Arabidopsis thaliana: one gene and its partner. The protein of the gene in region 2 interacts with the protein of the main gene of each other region in a pairwise test. Each region holds a gene or a part of one and is shown on either strand. Other genes may lie near its edges. The genes, in order: PUP1 and CIPK7.

What was found.
Region 1: the proteins of CIPK7 (region 2) and PUP1 interact in a protein complementation assay, tested with the Arabidopsis thaliana proteins (one large-scale study listed by BioGRID).

Annotation. Positions count from the first base shown.
Region 1 is NC_003070.9:9,855,108-9,867,420, reverse strand, and holds PUP1 (purine permease 1), read left to right. Parts: upstream 1-2,641; 5' UTR 2,642-2,866; coding exon 2,867-3,574; intron 3,575-4,858; coding exon 4,859-5,221; 3' UTR 5,222-5,380; downstream 5,381-12,313. Other genes in the region: PUP3 (purine permease 3), read left to right, coding at 5,987-6,676, 6,753-7,118; ATJ1 (DNAJ heat shock family protein), read right to left, coding at 7,444-7,528, 7,961-8,050, 8,373-8,442, 8,523-8,571, 8,716-8,772, 9,329-9,400, 9,834-9,925, 10,323-10,395 and 9 more.
Region 2 is NC_003074.8:8,166,351-8,177,675, reverse strand, and holds CIPK7 (CBL-interacting protein kinase 7), read right to left. Parts: upstream 5,198-11,325; 5' UTR 5,023-5,197; coding exon 3,733-5,022; 3' UTR 3,534-3,732; downstream 1-3,533. Other genes in the region: AT3G23020 (Tetratricopeptide repeat (TPR)-like superfamily protein), read left to right, coding at 1-461; RLP36 (receptor like protein 36), read right to left, coding at 1,031-2,818. UniProt on the Arabidopsis thaliana protein: CIPK serine-threonine protein kinases interact with CBL proteins. Binding of a CBL protein to the regulatory NAF domain of CIPK protein lead to the activation of the kinase in a calcium-dependent manner.

The DNA of each region.
Region 1 (12,313 bases), on a different chromosome or scaffold from region 2:
CGCTACATCCTACTATATTATTTGGGAAGTACATTTTAAATGTAACCTTAATTTTTGTAAGTAATTACATAGGTATGCCATTAGAAATAAAATTTAAAGAGTAAATTAATTTATCTCTTTAAGTCAAATACTAATTTAATTAATTAAATTTAATTAAAAAACGAAATACATTATTAATTTCCAAAAATAATAACCAATCAAAATTAACATATAAGATTTGATATATAAATTTCAATTAATTTAATTTAATTAGAAAAAACAAAATACATTATTAATTTCCGAAAAAGTAACCAATTAAAATCAACAAAGTAGATTTGATATCTAAATTATCATATTAATTTTTTATTAATTATTATAGTTCACTTCTCATCTTTATATGATTCTATTTTTTTGAAAAAATAAAATCATCATTATAAAAAAAGAATTAGATTTTTCGCATATGCCATAATTTGAATTTTTAAAAACGAATATAAATTGTTCAATACATGAAAAAATATTATAACGGGTGAAAAATAGATTTAAAAAAACTTTCTACTGAGTAACATGTCATAATTTGAAATATTTATATTCAATTTCATACATATTATATTGAAAATTTATAATCTTATATACTACAATAATTAATAACATATTAGATTTTTTTATGTGTATGATGTGATTCAATTTTTAATACAAGGTGGAAAATCCTATAATTTACGGGTTTAGATCGATATTAATACAAGATGGTATACTACAGGTAAAACTCTTAAATTAACAATCAAACTATAAATGTATAATCTTAAACACTAAACAATATAGATAATATCAACAAAACATATACAACTCACAGTTTACTATACATTTATAATCAAATAAAATAATATCAAATATTTTTAAATCATCTTTACAGTAAAAGTTTTTAGTTTAACTAAAATATAAGCGTACATGCGGTATACTGCAGGTTAATATCTAGATTATAGGGCTTATTGGATCTAAAAACGGGTCATCAAAGATTTCCTAAACTGAAGCAAAATATTCTGAATATTCGAATATCTATCTGTTACCAAATTATAAACAAATAAGTTCGTAAAACAATTTAATAATTTTATATACGAAATCAATTAAATCTTAATCACATAAAAATTAGCACAAAAAAAATATTCAACAATTAAAAAATTATCAAATCTCTGTGTTATATAAGTTTTGATACTATATTTGAATAAAGTGTAATATACCTTTTTAATTTGTATTCTTTAACTAATAAAAACTAACTAATATATTTGCTAATCTTATACCTATCAAAACCGACTATCGTTTATTATCTCTATAATATTTTTACAAGACTTTTTTTTGGTGGATTTAAGTAAAAGTGCATTCGGGTTATAAGGTACATTCCCGTAATAAATAAATATAGTGCACTCCTATGTTATTAGCTAAAATGTTTAGATTATAATTCATAGTCATATCATTAATAAAATAAATGGCTTTTTTGTAAGACGGATTTGGAGGGACGGGTTTTTGAATAAACATTAATAAAAAAGTAAAATATAATTAATCCACCGTTTCAATACGGGTTAAATCTTTAATTTATTATTTTTTAAGACCACTGATATTAAACATATCAAATCATCCAAATTTAGAAAAGATTATATAAAACCAAAAATGTTATGTGGTATGTATAATGTTACTATATATAAAATTAAATTATAAAATATAAATGTATTAGAGAATGATACAATTTGCAAAACTTTTATATATAAAAAATAATTCTTAAAATTTTAAAATTACTACTTTAAAATTATCACGGGACGGGTAAAGAAATTACAGAACAGATTTTATTTTGGAATTGGGTTATATGGTGGATGTATTTGAATCAATATTTAAAAAATTTTAAAATATTATTAATATGCTGTTTTAATAGGGGTTAAAACTTCAGTTTTTTAACAATTGTCTCATTGATTCGTGATATAGCGTTACTTAACAACAATTATAAACTGTAAAATGTAAATATTTTATAAAAATAAAATTTGCAACTTTTAATATATATTACTTTTACAAAATAAATCGTTCCGCGGTATACCGCGGGTTAAAATCTAATTTGTTGATGTATTTAGTATCCTAGCGGGTAGAAACCTTGTTAAATATAGTGGTGTAGAAACCATAAATTGAATCACTTCTTTCAAGCCAACGACTGACTACGCGAGTTCAACAATGGAGCTATAAAAACAAAACAACTAGTTGCAACAAATAATAATCAAGTCTACAAACAAAATAGCTTAAGTCAGCATTCCATGTATTAAAGCATATGACAAAATGATTGATTACAATAGTCCGTAAACGAAGACAAATGGATACTAAAGATAAATTTCTAATCAAGATAACTTTTCTATAACAATATCCTCATCTAAAGATAAAACCAAGTATAAAGATATTTCTCTTAAATCACGTCTGTTTTTTCTTCTCGAAATTTTGTTTTCTTGCTTTTTATACACACAACGAAAATTTAGCGTAACACAGAGAGACGATTTGTTTTTTTCTATCTCCACAATTCAACTCTTTCTTTTGTCATACTCAATGTATGTAGAGCAGAAAATAACACGTCTCTTTTTTTATCACGATAAAACAAAGGACCATCCTTAGTTGGAAATTCAAACCCTAGTAGTAAGTATAACGTTTTAAAATCGCAAACGCGCCCGCTATGTTATGTCCCACCGTTTTAATTTCCCAACTTCCTTGACAATGTATCACACGATCCAAAACCACAAACAAACAAAACACACACAAAATGAAAAACATATAATTGCTCATTGACCCCTCAAGCTGATGAGAAATATCATCAAAAAGGCCAAAACAGAGGACAACAAAAACAGCAAGCAGCAAGAAGAAGATGAAGAATGGTTTGATAATCATAAACTGTATTATCCTCACTATAGGAACATGTGGAGGTCCTTTGTTAACTCGTCTCTACTTCACCAATGGCGGAAAACGAATCTGGTTCATGAGCTTCCTATCAACCGCTGGTTTTCCAATCATCCTCATCCCTCTCTTGGTCTCCTTCCTCAGCCGTCGCCGCAGCAACCGCAACCCTAACAACGCGGAAAACAAGCGGAAAACAAAGCTCTTCCTCATGGAAACTCCTCTGTTTATCGCCTCCATTGTCATAGGGTTGCTCACAGGACTTGACAACTACTTATATTCTTACGGATTAGCATATCTGCCAGTTTCAACTTCATCGCTCATAATCGGAACTCAACTAGCTTTCAACGCTCTCTTCGCTTTCTTGTTAGTCAAGCAAAAGTTCACTCCGTTCTCCATAAACGCCGTCGTTTTGTTGACGGTTGGTATCGGGATCCTTGCGTTACACAGTGATGGAGACAAACCGGCTAAGGAGAGCAAGAAAGAGTATGTGGTTGGGTTCTTGATGACTGTGGTTGCAGCTCTTCTCTATGCTTTTATATTACCGCTCGTTGAGCTAACTTACAAGAAAGCTCGTCAAGAAATCACTTTCCCACTTGTGCTTGAGATTCAGATGGTCATGTGCCTTGCTGCTACTTTTTTCTGTGTCATTGGCATGTTCATCGTTGGAGATTTTAAGGTAAGAAATTTACAGTTTTTTTCACGTTGTGTTTTTAGTATAAGAGAGAGTATCATGGGATGATCTTGATAAAAAAAATATTATGCAGATTTTGATGAAGACTTTAGCTGAGTTTTTGGATTCTCTATTTTTAATGTTTTTCTAAATTATATAGTTTTTTTGTTCATTTTATGATAGAGGCCAAAATTTAGTCTGGATTCCCAAGAAATGAGGAATACTAAGATTTGTTCTTTTGTATTATTAATGGAGAAAATCCATGGAAACAATTATATATATAGAAATTATTTCAGAATCATTGGTACTAGACTATACTAGTCAACCAAGATATATTGGTATCTGTATTTAAACATTTTCTAAATACATATGGATATTATAGAATATTTAACAATTTTAATATAGATTTCCTGGTTATAATAAAATATGTGATTTTATGTAATATTTGTCTTCCTGATCTTTTATTAAAAACAAATATTATATAAAATACAAGATAAAGGTTTGAGCAATTTATAAAATATTTAACAATTTCAATAAGGTTTTATGTAATACTAGGTAATCACCCGCGCTACGCTGCGGTATTTTCAGATTTTTTGTATCGTATAATTTAAATATAATTTTTAATTATCTAATCATTTACTTATGTAATAAGTAATTATTCTTAGTATTAAAATATATTTTTTCTAACAACATTCTCAACAATGCATTATACACACAATTCCTAAACAATGTTCATCTTAAACTAATTAAATAGAGGGTAATACTGGAATTCTCGAAACCTAAGAATTTGATGATTAAATTTCTTACATACTCTTCACCCTCGGCGATTTATTATATAGATATATAACAATATGCAAACTATTCAAACTATTAACTAATCCATGACTACTATACACTCATAATTTGAGTTAAGATTACAGAAAAAAATCTTCTGAGTATGAGAAAACCAATAAAATTATTTTATTGAACAACATGTAATAACAAAATAAATTTAGTATTAGTACAATTAAATATGTAAAATTAAATAATAAATACATCATTAATCTATAAATTAAAAGTTGAAAGCTTACATTAATTATTATGTGGACACATGGCACATGTTAAAGTGATGATGTGTCAATCATATGGAGAGAGTTGGCCAACTTTCATATATATGATTTGTCTTCCTTATCTTTTATTAGAAACATTATTTAAAAATTGTTCAAACCTTTATCCTGTATTTCCATATCTATTTAAAATTATGATTAAACTTGAGAATCAACTAAAATCATCATCATACATGTTTTGTAGGTGATAGCAAGAGAAGCAAGAGAGTTCAAGATTGGAGGATCAGTGTTTTACTATGCATTGATAGTGATCACAGGAATAATATGGCAAGGTTTCTTCTTAGGAGCCATAGGGATTGTGTTTTGTGCATCATCACTAGCTTCTGGTGTTCTGATAAGTGTTCTGCTTCCGGTGACTGAAGTTTTCGCCGTCGTTTGTTTCCGGGAGAAGTTTCAGGCAGAGAAAGGTGTCTCTCTACTTCTTTCTCTTTGGGGATTTGTCTCTTACTTCTACGGCGAGTTTAAATCCGGCAAGAAAGTTGTTGATAAACCTCAACCGCCGGAGACAGAACTGCCTATTCTTCCTGTTAGTGATTATGTTGCTTAATTTCTATAACTCTATAGGATTATAACAGAGCATTACTGTTATGTTTTGTTCCTAATATTATGTGTGATTGTGTGTTTTGTTATTGTTCTTGTGTATAAGTATGAATAAATTTGAAAGATATTGAGCTATTTGATAAATGCAAATTTTAATACACTTGTAGTAGAAATAGAATGATAATGATAAGTAAAAGATAGGATATTTCGTATTTGATAAAATCACATCCTATTTATCGATTTTATAAAATAAACATTTCACACTTTTAATTTAAGATTAATATAATTTATCTATTTAATATAAAAATTTGTATATAAATCAAAGAACTAATATAGAAAGAAGAAGAGAAAACAAAAGAGATAGAGTCAAAGAACCAATTAACCATCCTTAAAATCTTCTAATTATAGAGAGAATTATGAACTGAAAATCTTAATGTCATTGCACTAAATTTAGAAAGAAATAAATCCAATAATCAAAACTGTAGAATTTGATGGAAACGTAAATTAATATGAGAGATATGATATTATCTGGTCTATAAGATAATTACTACGTTTTTTATACGAAATTAAACAGTTAGCAAAATTTATGGGTATAAAATAGGAAAAGTCATGTTTTAGCCATTGAAGCCTCGTTAGGTAAAAAGAAACACAAAGATCTATCACGACAGAATCTAAAACCGGACCAAATTTGTTCCAAAACACAGCAACACCAAACCTTATAACTAACTCCTTCGACCACCAACCTTCATTATCCACAAGAAATCAGACAAGAATGGTGAAGGCTCTTGTGATCATAAACTGCATAATTCTAGCCATAGGAAACTGTGGAGGTCCTTTGATTATGCGTCTCTACTTCAACAATGGCGGTAAAAGGATTTGGTTCTCTACGTTTCTTGAAACTGCAGGCTTTCCTGTTATCTTCATTCCTCTGCTCTTCTCTTACATTACCCGGCGCAGAAGCAACAATGTGGGTGATAGTACAAGTTTCTTTCTTATCAAACCGCGTCTTCTTATCGCCGCTGTTATTGTAGGCATTCTCTCAGGGTTTGATAACTACTTGTATGCATATGGTATAGCTTATCTTCCAGTTTCTACAGCTGCTCTTATCATTGCTTCACAGTTAGCTTTTATAGCTATCTTCTCATTCTTCATGGTTAAACATAAGTTCACTCCTTTTACCATCAATGCTGTTGTGTTGTTGACTGTTGGTGCTGCGGTTTTGGGAATGCATACCGAAACTGATAAGCCAGTTCATGAGACTCACAAGCAGTACATAACTGGTTTCTTGATTACTGTAGCAGCAGCTGTTATGTATGCTTTCATCTTGCCATTAGTGGAACTTGCTTACCAGAAAGCTAAGCAAACCATGAGCTATACCCTTGTGCTCGAGTTCCAGTTGATTTTGTGTCTCCTTGCTTCTATTGTCAGCGTCATCGGTATGTTCATCGCTGGTGATTTCAAGGTTAGTCACTCTTTTGAATCTGAAAACATACAAAAGAGTTTTTAACAGAGACTTGAGCCCTTTACTGTTTTTGCAGGCCTTACCAAAAGAAGCAAGAGAGTTCAAGCTTGGAGAGGCATTGTTCTATGTGGTGGCTGTGTTTTCAGCCATCATATGGCAAGGCTTCTTCTTGGGAGCCATTGGATTAATCTTCTCCACATCGTCTCTCGTCTCGGGTATTATGATATCAGTGCTTTTGCCAATTACAGAGGTTTTAGCTGTTATATTCTACCATGAAAAGTTTCAAGCTGAGAAGGGACTTTCTCTTGCTCTCTCCCTTTGGGGCTTTGTCTCTTACTTTTATGGTGAGATAAAGTCTGGCGAGGATAAAAGGAGAATTCAGCAGGAGGAGAGTCAGGAGACAGAACAATCTTCTTTGTCAAGACCCATAAGTGAGTGTTAAAACTCAACGAAGCATGGCTTTTCGTTTAAAGACATCATAGCACTCATTTCTCCGCCAAGTAGATTAGAAGATATGTTTGAGAAACTTGTGGGATTATGCCGAAAACACAATCTTAAAGGACTTTTTTTTTTCTTTTCTTTATTTCAGCTTAACTTGTTTGATGTCTCTTATTATTCACATCAAATGAGTTTGTAATAGAATTATGAGGTCAAACAATGACACTCTCTGTTATGCTGGTGAGCTTTTTGTTCTACCAGCAATAGATGAAATTAGTCTTCATTTGTCTTCTGTTGAATGCTTTTATCTTTCATCTCTCGTGGTGGCTTCATCCCATTAACCTGCTCAACAATAGCGCCAGCAGCACCATTAACGAGAAGTCGCGGATGATCTGAGGACCCGTTAGATTCCACCTGTAAGTTCAACCAGTAGAGAGCTTCTGGTAAAGCCTGTTTGGTTCATATTCATGATTCTTCATTACTATAAGGAACAATCGCTAGTGAGGAAATAACATTCAGTTGAATCAAAATGTAAAGAAAAAGCCCCAACAGACATTTTGGCTTTCTTACACTGTTTCCCTTAGAGCTTCTAGTTATTTCTTATAAGAGAACCTAGGTATCTCATTTTTCAATTATGTCTTGTTGTTATCTACATATCCGCCTTTTCTAACTCTTATTTCTAAGCAGGCCTAGAAAATGTACCAGTAATGTATAAGCATCACTAATTCTTCTATTGTAACCAACTACATTCCTTTGAGGTGAATTATACCAGATGTCCATTTACGTCTAACCATCTAATATTACACACAATATGCTGTTATAAACACAATAATAAAATTTACTTACCAACTTCCTTCAGCAGAGTCGCTCAACTCATTGTTGATTTCTTCCTTTGCAAACTCTTCCAGTATAGCACGCTGACGTTCATTCACTTCACTAGTAGATACAAGGAAAAAAGTAAACCGCATAAGCATATACCAGAAATCTATCAATATTAGCTCTTGACGGAAATGAAAAGAAGAGAATCCAACACATCCACATGCCACCAGAACATCAAGAAGCTTATGTAATCAGATTTAATAATCAGACGGCAGGGAAATTAACACAATGTTGTCCTAGGAAAATTATTTCAAAAACCGTAACTTTAGAGCAACAAAGTGTCTTTTCCATTCTAAACACTAGTAGAGTTTTTAGCATAGCATAATGTGGATGTCTCCAACAAGTGTATTACTTGAACTTCAAGTAAAAGAAATCTTACGTAGGAAAGTTAACGCGGAAGCGAACATACTGATCTCCATGATCTACAAAAAAGCCTTGCTTCGGTAGTCCTGCAGGAACTAACCTATTAAGAAGAGTACACGCAAATACACAAAAAAAATTGAACATATAGGCTGATAATTATATGTACCTTTGCCTCTTAAAACAAGAAGTTGATCAGGCTGAGTCCCCTTTGGTATCTGCAACAATTACAATAAGGTACCTCTATTATCTCCAAAGCCTTGAGATCTAACCTTCCTCTTGGTCAGAGGATGAAAACCAACTTGACTCAAATTATAAACAAACAAAATATTATATGAATCTCACTGGGAGACGAATCTTACATCTAGCTGTATCTTGCCTGAAAGTGTTGGCACCACAACTTTGCCCCCCAAAATAGCCTGTCAAATAAGTTTTCTAAGACATGTCCAGTATGGCTCAAGGGAGAAATAGTAGGAACAACGTGAACCATAAGAGATGAAAGGATGCACTATAATAGAAAAATACTGCAGCCGAGGTACTATGGCTTGGTGGCAAAATAGTGCAGTAGCATGCACTTGAGTTTTATGACTGGGGCCATCAAATTGAGTTTGAACCGATATGCCACATTATCTAGTTTAGAGAATAAGCGCATCATATACATAATGATAAAGATGCTACTAGCTAATATTATTAAACCTAGTAGTTTAGTAAACTTTTGGCACATAAACCAGTTGAATAGGACAAAACTCATTAATTTTCAGCTAGACTCCAGATAACTTTTCTCTAGTTTATGTCCTCTAAGAGGTTTTATTTTATCATAGGACATGCCTAAATTATGTTACTGCAGAGCTTTATCAGCTAGCAGTTAAGGCTTTTGAGTTTTGACCACAAAGTGTCACCATGCAGAAAAAACATGAGTTTCGAAGGTACTGCTCTGCTTATAACCCAAAATTCAGGATTCACCAGTGTGCTTACTTGTGTAAAGCTAATATTAGCATCCACATATATATCTGAGCCATCCCTAGTGAAAGTTGAATCATTAGCAACCTGTGACCAAAAGAAGATTAGATACGTGTCAATAAAGGAAAATTCAGCATGCAGTAAGACCCTAAATGAGGCAAGAATGATGATAGAATTGAAGAATACTTTACAAGAGAGCATGAACAATTGATTCACTGGATGTAATAAGTCTTGATTATATAGTGACGCAACAAACAAAGTAGAGTAGCAATCACATATAAATCTGTGAACATTGGTTTAGATCATTTTTGAAATGAATTCGTTCAAAGTCAATATATGACTTATAACATGACTTTGCCACTTATATTAACTGTTTTATCTCTTAGGTTAAATTGATCAATGGACTTAAATGGTAGACCAATCATCAACGTCAAGGGTGAGTTTGATTCAAACTTCTCTAGGCACGTCTTACAAAATATACAAGTACAAATTTGAAGAAAATACAGATGCTTTAACAAACCTTTAGTTTGATATACAAGTTCCCAGGTTGACTTGTTCTTGAACTTACATTACCAGCACCTACGATTGTGATTGTAGCTTCAGACTCCACCCCTGTGGTCAAGTACAGAGAGAAGAAAGCAAATTAAAGTTTGACAGAATTTTGTCATCAAAAACCTATTTCACTATCTAATCCACCAAAGTCATGTAAGATGATAATCGGAAATCACAATCCCAAATTCATTGTTTCATCTTTGCCCCAAAATACCAAGCACAGAATTAACCAGAAAATGTAAATTGCCAAGCATAATCTTAGAAAAGAAAAAGAAAAGCCAGTCAAACAATAAGTGTGACCGATATCTAAATTGGATTACATCTAAACCACACAAATCCTCAAAGAAAGGAACGTAACAGAGTGAATGAAATCTTGCTACTCGTTCCATAGCAGACAGACATGTTTGGAATCAAAACCAAGTTAAAGATAAACAAAAGCATGAAGATTTAGACTAACCTCCAGGGATCACAAGTTCAGCTGTCTTTGTGCCTTCCACAATACCTGATCCTCTACAAGACATGCAGTATTCCTGAAGAAATAAACACATATATACTCGTAACCAGTGCCAGAGAGATAACTACTGAAGCGTCAATAAAGTAGCTCTTTTTCTCAAACCTTAATAATGTGTCCCGTCCCCTTGCACGTCTGGCATGATGCTGTAAAAGGAGGAATAGTTACCTGTTAAAGAGACAGACAGCATAGTACTGTAAATAGAAATTGTATGATTTATTAACCCTCCAAAGAAAATAAAACTTATATCCTCTAAATGGTACTTACTCGTCCAACCCCCCTGCATGTTGGACAAATGCTCATGGCAGCATCGCTAGGGTGGCCAAGCCCATCTGTAAAATGATAAACAATGCGAGATTGGGATTCATGGTTTTGCAACAATATTACTTTCACCCAACTGAGTTTACTCGTCCTCTCAAAGTTGGCTGAATCAGTAACTTTTTAAAGACAGAAGGCTGTAAATGTTACAAGAATAAAATTAAAAAAAGAAAAAAAAAAAAGAGACAACAAACTGTAGATACATGTACATTAACATCGATGGATCACAGAGCCATTTCCAGAAGTCTATTCTTCGTTAAGAAAAATATTTTACCATTTTGGGCAACTGAATAATAATGTACCATGACGAGTTAGGACTCCTAATTTAAAGTGTCTATACTCTCAAGTATCTTTACAGGAAATCTTGCGAGCCATGACTGGCTTGTCAATATTAGTAAATGCAAAAGAGACAATATAAGAAAACTTCTGTGGCCACTCACCACAGGAATCACAAAAGACATATGCATCAAAAGACAAACGTTTTGTGCACCCTTCTGCAGCTTCGGAAAGAGAAAGCGACAGTTCCACCTATTCAATTTTTAACAATATAAACATGTGTATTACTGAAGAGCCCTACACAACAAGATTTATATAAGTCAACCAGATTCCAGTTGTATAAATAAAAGAGAGAATCAGAGAAACTGACCCGAATATCAGGTTTTATCTGATTGTTCTCAAATATCTGAATAAAGTTTACTAATGTTAGAGATTTAACTAATCACATAAAAAGATGAGCAAAAGGGAAACATAATAATGTACCTCAGAAAAAATCTTGTGGAAAGTATCCGAGAAATTGGACTGGTATGCACGTCTGAACCTCTCTGAATCACCACCGTCATTATTTACATAATCCGAATTCCGATACTGCAGCTGGATCGAGTGATAACATCAAGAAATATATTTAGTGATCTCGCCACCAGATAAATAAGAATAAAAACAACAAAAAAGCGTACCTTATCATATTCTTCTCTTCTTTCCGAATTTCCCAGGGTCTACAGTTTTTTAATCCAACACAAAAGTATATCAGAAGATACATTCAAAATACACAGATGATGGCAGATGGAAAAGAAAAAACTACCTCATATGCCTCTCTTATTTCCTGGAACTTCCTTTTTGCTGACGGATTATTTCTATTTGTATCAGGGTGGAATTTTTTCGCAAGCTGCAACAATTGTGCATTCACTCATCAATTTTGAGCAGACAACTTTTACTAATAGTTTTTGCTTGATGTAAAAAAATGTTTAAAGCTGAAGAACAGTCCACTAACAATGAGCCGAAAGACTCACCTCATGAAATGATTTTTTAATCTCCTCCCGTGTAGCTTTAGGAGAAACACCGAGAACATCATAGTAATTACGAGCACTGGAGTTGTTTATACCTGAGAACCATTATCCAAAACCAAAAGCATTTAATGAATAAAATGATACAAAACATCATTTTATTCATTAGCGTGAATGCAAAAAAACAAGACCTGTAGCGTGAATGTATCGCTCGAACAACGGCTTCTGAGACCCTGCAAAGAGTCAAAACTTCCAAGTAATGAATGCATATTTCCTATAGTCTGTAGATAAACACAAACATCAACTGGAAATTCCCTCATGCCCCTAATGTTAGCTACC
Region 2 (11,325 bases):
TCAACCTGTATAGCGAAAGATCGATGGTGAGAAAAGCAGAAGCTATATTCGATAGCATGAAACAGAGAGGAGAAGCAAACGAGTTTACCTTTGCGATGATGTTATGTATGTACAAGAAGAACGGTCGGTTTGAAGAAGCGACTCAGATAGCAAAACAGATGAGAGAGATGAAGATTCTAACTGATCCGTTGAGCTACAACAGCGTTCTCGGCTTATTCGCTTTAGACGGGAGATTCAAAGAAGCTGTTGAGACATTCAAAGAGATGGTGTCATCTGGAATTCAACCTGATGACTCAACGTTCAAATCACTAGGAACCATTCTGATGAAACTTGGGATGTCGAAAAAAGCTGTTCGTAAGATCGAAGAAATTAGGAAAAAAGAGATCAAGCGAGGATTAGAGCTATGGATCTCAACTCTCTCATCTCTTGTTGGGATTGGAGATTGTGTCGACGAGCTTTAGTGTTGAAAAGTTTTGGTAGATTTTTAGCTGTGTCTCTATGTATATAAAAACCTTTAAAATGACTATGACGCGGGAGATATGATTTCTTCATGATTATACAAAATTGAACAGACGAAAACATAAAAAGAAAATAAAGAAGCTAAAATCCACACGTCACAATTTATAAGAATAGGTCATCATGAGGTGAAGAAAGAGCAAAGCCACTCGTCAAGGTTTATCTTCTTTCTTAGTAAGTCTGGTATGGGCAATAACATTGTGGCCGACAAACTATTTCCACAAAGATAAATGGATGGCTATGGGACATAGTATTAAACATGAATTTCAAGACATGTTATTAAAGATTTATAATAGAGATACATATGCAACTATACAAACATGGACCACGTTACACACTATGGTGAGAACATAACAGCTTATAACGTCGACACTGTTTATAAATTATAATGCAACCACTAAATGGGAAATTACAAGGACAGAAAAAACAACTAGCGAGCTTAGTTACCGTAGTACAAACTTGACCGGGAGAGAGATGGGCTTAACGAGCTATGAACCACTCATGTTTGTATGAACTATGAAGTGAAGATATGTCCGATCACTAATCCACAAAACATACCAGGTCCAAACGCTATCGCAGCTGCTATCCAGTTCAGCAATTGGTCTTCCGATTCCGACAAAGGTTCCTCGGGTTGCTGAGATGTAGTAGGAACGGGCACATGATGGCTTTCTCCACAAATTTCCCTGAAACCATAGAGTCCAAGATTACCCAGGAACGAAGAACAATTTTGAGTTGCAAACTGTGTACTTTGTGGAATCAATCCTTCAAGATGATTGTAGGAGAAGTTGGTGTTGGACAAAAACGAGAGTTTTCCAAGACTTATAGGAATCTCACCAGACAAGTTATTTCGTGATAGGTCTAATGACTCGAGATTTGTGATATTCGCCAAGGATGGTGGGATATTGCCTGTGAATGCATTGCCTGACAAGTTCAGAAGACGCAGTTCGCTCAGTAGACCAATAGACCCAGGGATATGTCCGGAGAATCGGTTTCCAGAAAAATCAATAGCATTGAAACCTTCAAAGATACGATCAAAATCCGTCTCTACTCCTTTGTACACCAAATCGATCGAATCATACGTACTAAAATTAACGTTTCCCATATATTTAAACTGTGGGATGTCCGAACCACTCCACACCAAAGACATTTCAAGCCAATTGGCAAAATAGTCTTGTGGCAATGATCCAACAAAGTTGTTATTGGATATATCAATGATCCTTATACTTGGAAACCCCAAATATGCGGAGGGGTTATAGACGGGACCATAAAATGCATTTGATCCGAGCATAAGAACTTTTAAATATGGTAGAGATCCCAACCAAAATGGAAACGTGTCCATGATTTTGTTTCCTTTCACATTCAAAAATTCAATCCTCTCGCAGTTGATCAACGATTTTGGAAGTTTACCCACCAAATTATTGCTGCTAACGTCAAGTGATCGCAACTGAGAGTCCTTAATGAATAAATTTGGTAGAACCCCACTTAGACTGTTGTTTCTCAGATTTAACGTATGAAAATAAGTGGAATACTTCAAACATTGAGGAATGGAACCATTAAAATGGTTGTTGGACAAATCCAAGGCGTATAAATCTTTAACCTTGCATATCCATTTGGGGAATGGTCCGTCGACTGAATTTGAACCAAGATTTAACATAGTTAATGATGCTCCATCGATAACTTCCACTGATTTGGCGAAGCAGTTGAAAGAATTATAAGAAAGATCCACATAATCCAACTTTGAGGATCTCCATACAAAATCAGGGACTTGACCTTCCAACTTATTATAGGAAAGGTCAACGCTAGTGAGGTTGACTACTTTAGATATTGATCTAGGGACTTGTCCTCCGAAATTGTTGTGGCTAACATCTAAATATTCGAGATTGACTAATTTAGATATAGATTCTGGAATTAGCCCATCTAAATTGTTGAAGCCAACATATAACACTCTTAGCCTAGATAATGAAAAGGTATTCCTAAAATCAATAGGTCCCTCGAAGTGGTTTTGGCTTAAATCAATATGGACTAAAGAAGGAATCATGAGCAATGATAAAGGAAAAGGTCCGGAAAATGAGTTGTTATACACCGAAAATCGCTCTAAGTTGTGAAGTCCACTAAGGTCAGCGGAAATGGAGGATTTGAAGTAATTTAAGGAGAGGTCTATAATGGACAAGCTGGTTAAATTGGCTAATACTGTATCCCCACCCGTGAACTGATTTCCAAAGAGGTACAATTCAGAAAGCTTTGTTAAGTTGGCAAATGAAGTAGGAATATTACCTTTTAGATCATTATCCCAAAGACGCATGGACTCTAGTTGGTTTAGGTTACCGATTGAAGCGGGAACTTCACCTACTAATTGATTATTCGAAAGATCAAGATATGTGAGATGAGAAAGATTTCCAATGGAAGAAGGAATTTCCCCTTGAAGTTTGCAACGTGAAAGCACTAGCTCACGAAGATGTTAGCAGTACTATAATAGAGTTGTAGTGATATCACCTCTCCCAATATAGCATCACATGTGACACCATCCCAAGAACAACAGTCAACGTTCTTGTTCCATGTAGTTGTTGGTACATGTAACTCCTTTTGTACCTCTAAAAGAGCATCTCTTTGGTCGCTGCGGCACAGTAACCGTGTGGGACAAGCAATGGTGTTTGGTAATGGAAGAATGCTCAAGAAGAAATAGATGGTAAGAAAGCAATAAGATAGGCTTCGAATCATCGTCTCTCAATTTCGTTTTTTTTGGGAAAGGAAGATAATTTGTTTGTGGTAAGTGATGAGCATAAACTCACTTGTTTTTATAAAAGTGTGAGGAGCTTGACTTTTGACTTGGCAAGTCTTCCTATGAATAATTTGTTTTTGTTGGACCTTATCTTACGTCCCTTTTCTTTTACTGAAGAATTTTTTTTAGCACCCACCAATTCGACGAAATGTCTAAGATACATTATCCCCACCTATTCTTGAGGCTTTGAATTTTATATTGAGGATGTTGAAGATGCGTTGAGTTGAGCCCATGGGCTTAGCGACAAGGAGCGAATAAGAGAATCATTATTGAGTACCATGTAGTGATCAAAGCTTATGGAATCGGTAGCAGAGAGGGTAATGTATCTGCTGGTAAAAAGACAATGAAGCGGGAGATTTTGATTTCTTCATGGATTATACAAAACTGAACAGAAACAAAACAAAAAAGAGACTAAAATCCACAAAGTCACAATCTATTTACATGATGTCATTGTGCCATGAAAGAACTATATCTTCAAGCTCAGTAATCAAATCAGACCACCGTGAATCATCTTCTTCACCTTCAACAACTTTCACTTCAACCACCACAACATCCACCGTTAACTCCACTGCTTCCACCACAATCACAGTTCTTCCTCTCCCTAATCCAACAACCTTCACTTCTCCTTCCTTCTTCATCATCTTCTTCTTCACTACATAACCTAACTTCTCCCCAATCATCTTCGCCTTCTCCTCCACTTCAACACCCGAAACCTTCGCCGTGAATCTCCTCTCCTTCTTCTTCTTAGCCTCAAACAATCCAGAAAGATCTAATCCCGACGATAACGAGATCAAATCAAAAGCAGTAATCGAATTAACACTCGATTTCATCTCTACTTCCGAATCAAAGACGTTACGATGAAACTCAGAAGTCTCTAGAGACTTCTTGAACCAATTCGTTTTCATCACTGTTTCAATACTCATCCTCGTTACTGGATTCGGATCTAACATCTGATAGATTATCGATTTAGCTTGTTTCGAAATCCAGCTCGGAAACCGATAATCTCTCCGATGAATCTTCCGATACATCGCAGCGATATTCGAATCATCAAATGGAACATCGCCAACCAATAAAACAAACAAAATCACACCACAAGACCACGCATCAGCTTTTGCTCCGTCGTATCCCCTCCGTGAAATAACCTCCGGAGCTGTATAAGCCGGAGTACCACACGCCGTGTGAAGCAATCCGTTTTGTAGATGCTCCGGTAAAGCTGATAAACCAAAGTCAGAGACCTTGAGGTTACCTTGCTCATCTAAGAGTAGATTCTGAGGTTTCACATCACGGTGAGCGACACCGTCTTGGTGAGAGAAACGAAGAGCGGAGGCGAGTTGTTGAAAGTAACGACGCGCCGTTGATTCAGGAAGACGTCCACGACGGAGGACTTTTGAGAAAAGTTCACCACCGGAAGCGAGTTCCATTACGAGATAGATCTTAGATTTGGTTGCCATAACTTCATGGATCTTGAGTATGTTTGGATGATGACGAAGACGACGCATCGCATCGATCTCTCTGATTATTCTTGGTTCCATACCGGATTCGATTGTTTTCTTCTTCTCGATGATTTTAACGGCGACGAGCTCGTCGGATTCGATTGATCGAGCTAAATGGACTTTCGCGAAGCTTCCGCTACCGAGACGACGACCGAGTTCGTATTTCCCAAGGAGGATCTTCGCCGGAGTTGTTGCCGGAGATGATTGGTTTTGCGGCTGGGGAAGTGATTCCATGGCGGCGGCGGAAGGAGAAAATGGTGCCTGAGTTTTCTGAAGAGAGGTTTCAGGGACGAGTTGTTTGGTGAGTGTCTCTTTGCTTTTATAGGAAAAAGAGATTTATTGCTTTTTTATTATTCCGAAACTACCCTTGAATAAATTAGTTCTGCTGTCACTGAGAAGTAGAATCTTTTTACTTGGTATACACATTATTTTGTAATTAATTCGTTGAGAAAATTTAGGAGAAAATATTAAGTGTATTTTTTCTGTCAATTAGTAATAGTGTTTTTTTTCTCAATAATATCACATATCCATAAATAGTCAAAATAAATAAAATAAAATGGTCTTACAATGTAAAGTTTATGGGTTGACAGATAATTATCATTTATTTATTTAAATTGTTTGAAATTGGAGTGTTTATTCACCTAAAATAACTGTAGATGTTCTGTAAAAGCTTGTGTTTAAGAGTTATATATATGACTGTCAAAAAAACACAAAGAGTTATGTATATAAATTTAATAAAATCATTTCAGTTTCACTTTGAAATTTATTGTAAAATCTTCAAAAAATAATGTATATATTGTACATTTTAGAATATGACATTAATTTTAAAATCTCCTAATAAAATACATTTACTTTCAATAAATATTGTTGGAATCATTTTTTTTAATAGCTTGTAAAAATGTGTCTCAACAGACAAACATTACCCTCATATATATTTCTAGTCTCCGCTACAACACCTTCATACTTAAGAGACCATTATAAGAATGAAACTATGAATCAAAGGTTTTATGATTATGGGTCTATGTAACAAAATGTAGTTAAATCTTTAATGCTTTACAAAATTCTATAATATCTCTTTTGAAATCATTGGATTGGGTTATATGTAAATAACATTTTTCATGAATAATTCTATTGCGATTAATTTAAAGTTGTTAACTAAAAAAAGATTTGATTGAGAAAAATATATTTTATATAATCCAATGCTCCAAAAGTTCTGATATTTTGGATTTTAAGTTTTGGATCTCAATAACAACAATATCACAACCTTGATTTCATAAACTTATATGAATCTTATTGTGTATGTGTTGGTTATTAATTTATAACACATTACATTTCTTAAATAATTCTATTATCTTTTTTATATATGATGTAGGCTACATCATGTAGCTAAAAGGTGTTTTTTTTTTTTTTTTTCCATCCGCTAAAAGGTCTATAAAATAGCCTTTTGCTATGATTACAATCTCAACTCTTTTATTTTTCTTGTTTAAAGCATTACACTTAACTTTATACTTTATACACAACGATATATTCCTAAGAAAATATTTTATGGTCGATATCACAGTGTGTCTATTCCAATCTCAAGTGCTGAAAAACAAATCATGAAAAAGTTGGAGTAATCAATATTCAAAATAGAGAATATAAAATAAATCTTGGTGTTCATCATTATTATTGTTGTATCTATTCGACACTTGGTGTTGAAATTAAATATTGTATTCCTTAAATAATTTGTATTCCTACTTTCAACGGTCCATACGTGTCCATCTTTTTCTAGCTAGATTCTCTCATCAATTTTTTCCACCTGAAATGTAATTAAACCATCCTTAAATATGGTTTAACTTAACTAGCAAATTAAATCACACAAAACCGTATTATTGAACTAAGGGTAAATAAGTCATTTACTCAAGTCCCAAACTGATCAGTGATTACTGGTGGCTTTTGAGCCAAACTAACAAACCGTCAAGATTGTTTGGCAGTTGTCGACTGACATATGGACGGCTCTCATTTGGCCAAGTCAGCAAAGAATTGGGCCCATTGGTTTTGATTTTGGTGTTAAAAACAAAAGTTCAATTTCTAGAATTATTTTATTCTCCTCAGATTTAGAATTTGCTAGTCAACAATGGCATCTTTGTCACACACTAGAACTCACCAATATTCATCAGTCGGCTCCATATTACAAAGAATATATTAACTATGAAAAAAATTACGCATATGCATGTAACAATGATATCATATTAAACCATTCTTGATACGTATCTTTAGAAAATTATTGCTATATATTTGGACTATTGGAGGTAGTGGAATAATATATGATTATGTTGTATCAAAATATCTTCTACAGTTAATATTTTAATTCTGAGCAGGTCAGATGCCATGTTGTAATTTTTAAAATATACCAATATTTTTTCTGAACATATAGACATCTAATTTAAGGAGATAAATTTCTATATAATATTTACTATTTAAAGTGTTTTTCAAAATTGACGATCTCTTTGCGTATTATATTTACAATTATATATCACACAGAATTCTTTTTACATAGGTATTTGTACAGTAAACTGGTTTAAAGGTTAGACATTTAGTATAATTTCAAAAGTTGGCAAAAATGTATATCGTTCTATATAATTGTACAAATACTAATATGATGTTGATTCAGTGGTAAATCTTTCAAATATAGAGATAATGAGTTCGACGTCTATTAGAGAAATAAATTTAATTTAGTATAGATTCTGTCTCTAAAAAACGTAAAGTTTTTGAGTTTTTGGGTTTAAACTTTTAGATATTCTAAAAAAAAAAGAAAACTTATACATGTTCTAGATCATAAAATTTTGTATTAGTACATATTAATATATAATTGTATTTTATACGCATGCATAAATTGTTGGAAATGTGATTAGGAAAATTAATTAATTGAAGAAATTGGGGAGAACTAAGTAGGAGTTGTCTTAAGTAGACTTAATTCACTTAGATTAGTTAGATAGCTTATTGGGACAAAAAGATAAACGATACGACCATTGAACTTTCAAAGAGACGTGATAAACTTATTTCTCCCCATGGAATTATATGTCGAATTACGTGAGACATACGATAACTTGAAATTCAATAATAAATTAAAGCTCTACATTTTTTTTCGTTATATAAAATTTCGATTATGTGTCGAGTCTTTGTGTGTATATGTTTTATGTGGTTTAGAGGTGTTCTATCTGCAATCAAAATAAGGTGGAAGAAGGTGAAACGTAACGCATGAATGAATTGGTACATTGGATATATAAATTATCATCATTAAACAAATGGATTTTATTATCATTTGAAATGATTCATTCACAGGACAAGTTAGGCAAATTTATTTTATTTTCTTACATTGGATATATAAAGTTATTTCGTAACGCATAATTTTTCTGAAAATGACTAAAAATGGTTTTCGTACACATGTATGTTAATACATCCTAACCAAAATGTTCACGTAAAATCTTGATTTGTGGAATTTTAATTATTTTTTTCAATAGTGGCCATAAATTCAACCATTTTTGTAATCTAAAACATTTTGGTACGTGCTCTTTTCGCAGTCCCTAAATTAACCAAAATTTTTTTTTGTCAAAGAATTAACTATTTTCATGTTAGAGATGTGGTAAAACCGAAACGAAAGATATAAATAAGTACCAAAATAGTATTCATAGAAATAATTTTCCGAGATCCATTATCGAGTGGAAGACGACATGATTTTGACCCCCAAAATGAAAACGACACCATGATATAAATAACAATATTCGGAAATAACAAGGAACCACCAATTATAGATCTAAGCGATATAGTAATATTATATTACATGATTATATTATTAGCTCTACCTGTATGTTTGCCATGTGTTTCGATTAATACATTATATACACAAAATATTTGGTAAAGAAAGCAGAGTCCTATATATTTTTAACAAAATCTTTTTAATATTAGAGAAATGAATAAGATTTTCTAATTCATAATTGGAATTACTTTGTGAAGTGGCCAATTCTATTCTAGATCTGTGAATCATAATGCTGCAAATTTTGAAATAAGAAAAAGAAATAGAATAAACATTGCATGCTAAATAGATAATTTTTAGTTTGTAATAATCTTTTGCCAAGTGGCTATGCCATTTTTGCTGATGTTTATTCTTTTTGAGAATTCCCATTTTTGGTGATGTTGTGAGCATGAGAGCTCAAGTCTCCCATAATGGGACCCGACTACTGGAATTTTACTTGCTTAAACCATAAAAATTCTAAATAATTGAATAACTTGCTACATAATACGTATATGATTAAAAATGGAACCAAATACACTTTTGTAATATCTTCAGTAAGTTATCTGGTAATTCGCATTAGCATATTAGCATAACATCTGAAACTAAAAGCTTGTTAATTATTTCTCTCTATATAGGAGTCACCAACTTTGTTATTTAATTATCTACAAAAGAAAAAACATATACTTGAAATCGATGTATGAAGTTTTGAAAGCTACGTTGTCTTGCATGATGCTGTGGGGGATGTATGCTCCACCACCAATAAGAGTAGTTTTCGTAATAATTTTTGTCTTTTTTAGTTTTTCCTTTACAATTATATATTCGTTAAACATCGCTATGCAATTAAATTCATTTATTCCTTAGAACGAGTATCGTCAAAATAGAATGTTACAGACTATGAATCATTTCGTTATCATGGCACTTTGGTCTTTGCTTTCTACTAGTTTCTACGAGAAGCAACAATATATAATTTTTTATTTTATTTTTTGGTAAAAAAACAACAACAACAACAACAACAACAATATATAATTAAGTGCAATAAGTTATACGAAGGGACCAAACTCGCTTAATAAGCTGACTATTGCATTAAAACCATGTATGAGTCACCTCGATTGTATTTCCGAAAGTAGATACATAATTTTTATATATTTTCTAATCAAAATTAGAAAAATACACATCAAAATACATAGTCAAATAAATATATTTGGCATCTTTAATAAGATACAATTATGAATAAAAAACTATTCAAGCTTAACTTTCTGACCTACTACAATTGATAAACTACTCTTGGTACGCAAGTCATCGTATAGAAAACTTGTAATAGTTGGAAAAACAATTTATGTTATTTTGATTATGAGGAACGACAAAAATACTGATCTCCTTAATGTAATCTAGACGCTAAGTACTAATTTACCGTTGGACTAGTGTTTTAGCCAATAATGAAACATAGATTAAAACAAGACACGTGTGTATCATAAGTCTCATATCAATTATACGACTTATTGAATAAGACTTGCTTCAAATTTCTGTTTGGTTATACACACAACCGCACAAATCAAACAGAAGCGAGAGGTCCACTTGGTGGTCGACAGGAGTGCGACTAATACGAGCCAAAAGAAGAGCATCAATGGACCACATATAATGGTCTCTTTCTACCCACATATTATTTATTTTTAGACTATAGTATTAGTACATGTTATTATAACTTGAAAACTATGCAATTATTTTCTCGACGCGTGACATCACTAGAGGCTCCACACTTGGACCAATGAAGAGGTGCAATTTGATTAGTAAAGTTGGGACTTGGGACCCTCTTCAAGTAGCACTACAATTAGAAAATTAGATTTGGTTTCTTCCCCAACCACCAAATGTTGTTTTCTTAATAGACATGTTAAATAAAATCTCCCTCCTTCAACTTTACTCATACTATATAATGAACATATATTATACAACAAGGTAAAAAAATCATTATATACAAGAAAGTTTCAATAATGCGCTCCAAGTTAAAGATATCTCAATAGCATAAAGAATTTGATCGATACAAAATATACCGCTTGAATATCCATCAAATTAGCAGAAACAAAAAGAAAGATTCAAAGCCATCTCTTATCACTTCTATCTATACATTCATCTTTAACCACTAACTAATTTTATATCACCAATCAAACCATTTTCCAAATATATTCTTCTTATTGTTCTGATATTTTTCTACCAAATGTTTAGTGTGTGAATCAGTTAACCACTATCTTGTATGAACATAAAGAAAGAAAGATTGCAATAACTTGATTTTAGAGTTTAGTTTTGAGATGAGTTGTCTCGAAATACAGGTATGTGTGTTTAAAGCAACGGTTATATATTCTTTCAACTCCATAATATACCAAAGAAGAAGGTTACTAAAATCTTCACGAAATTCAAGTTTAGCAAAATATATGTGGAATACGCAATTAACGTTTGTAGAAATGCTCTAGTTCGCGTTGTAGAAAGTTGTTGGTCACAATTTATGGGTTAATTAGGTGGTTAATGGTTATGGTTGTTCAAAATATAATTATGTTCTACTATACGAACCGAATCCAAATAAAAATGTATAACAAGAGAAAACGTCTCCTCGTCTACAAGAAAAGACACATTGATTTTGAAGAAAGAGTAATAATAACAAAAAATGTAAAGACAAAACACTGTATTATGTGTGACTTAATTCTTGTTAGTTTATTGTATAGTATATGAATATGATTAACCAATACACTATTCTAACGTCAAAACGTGAT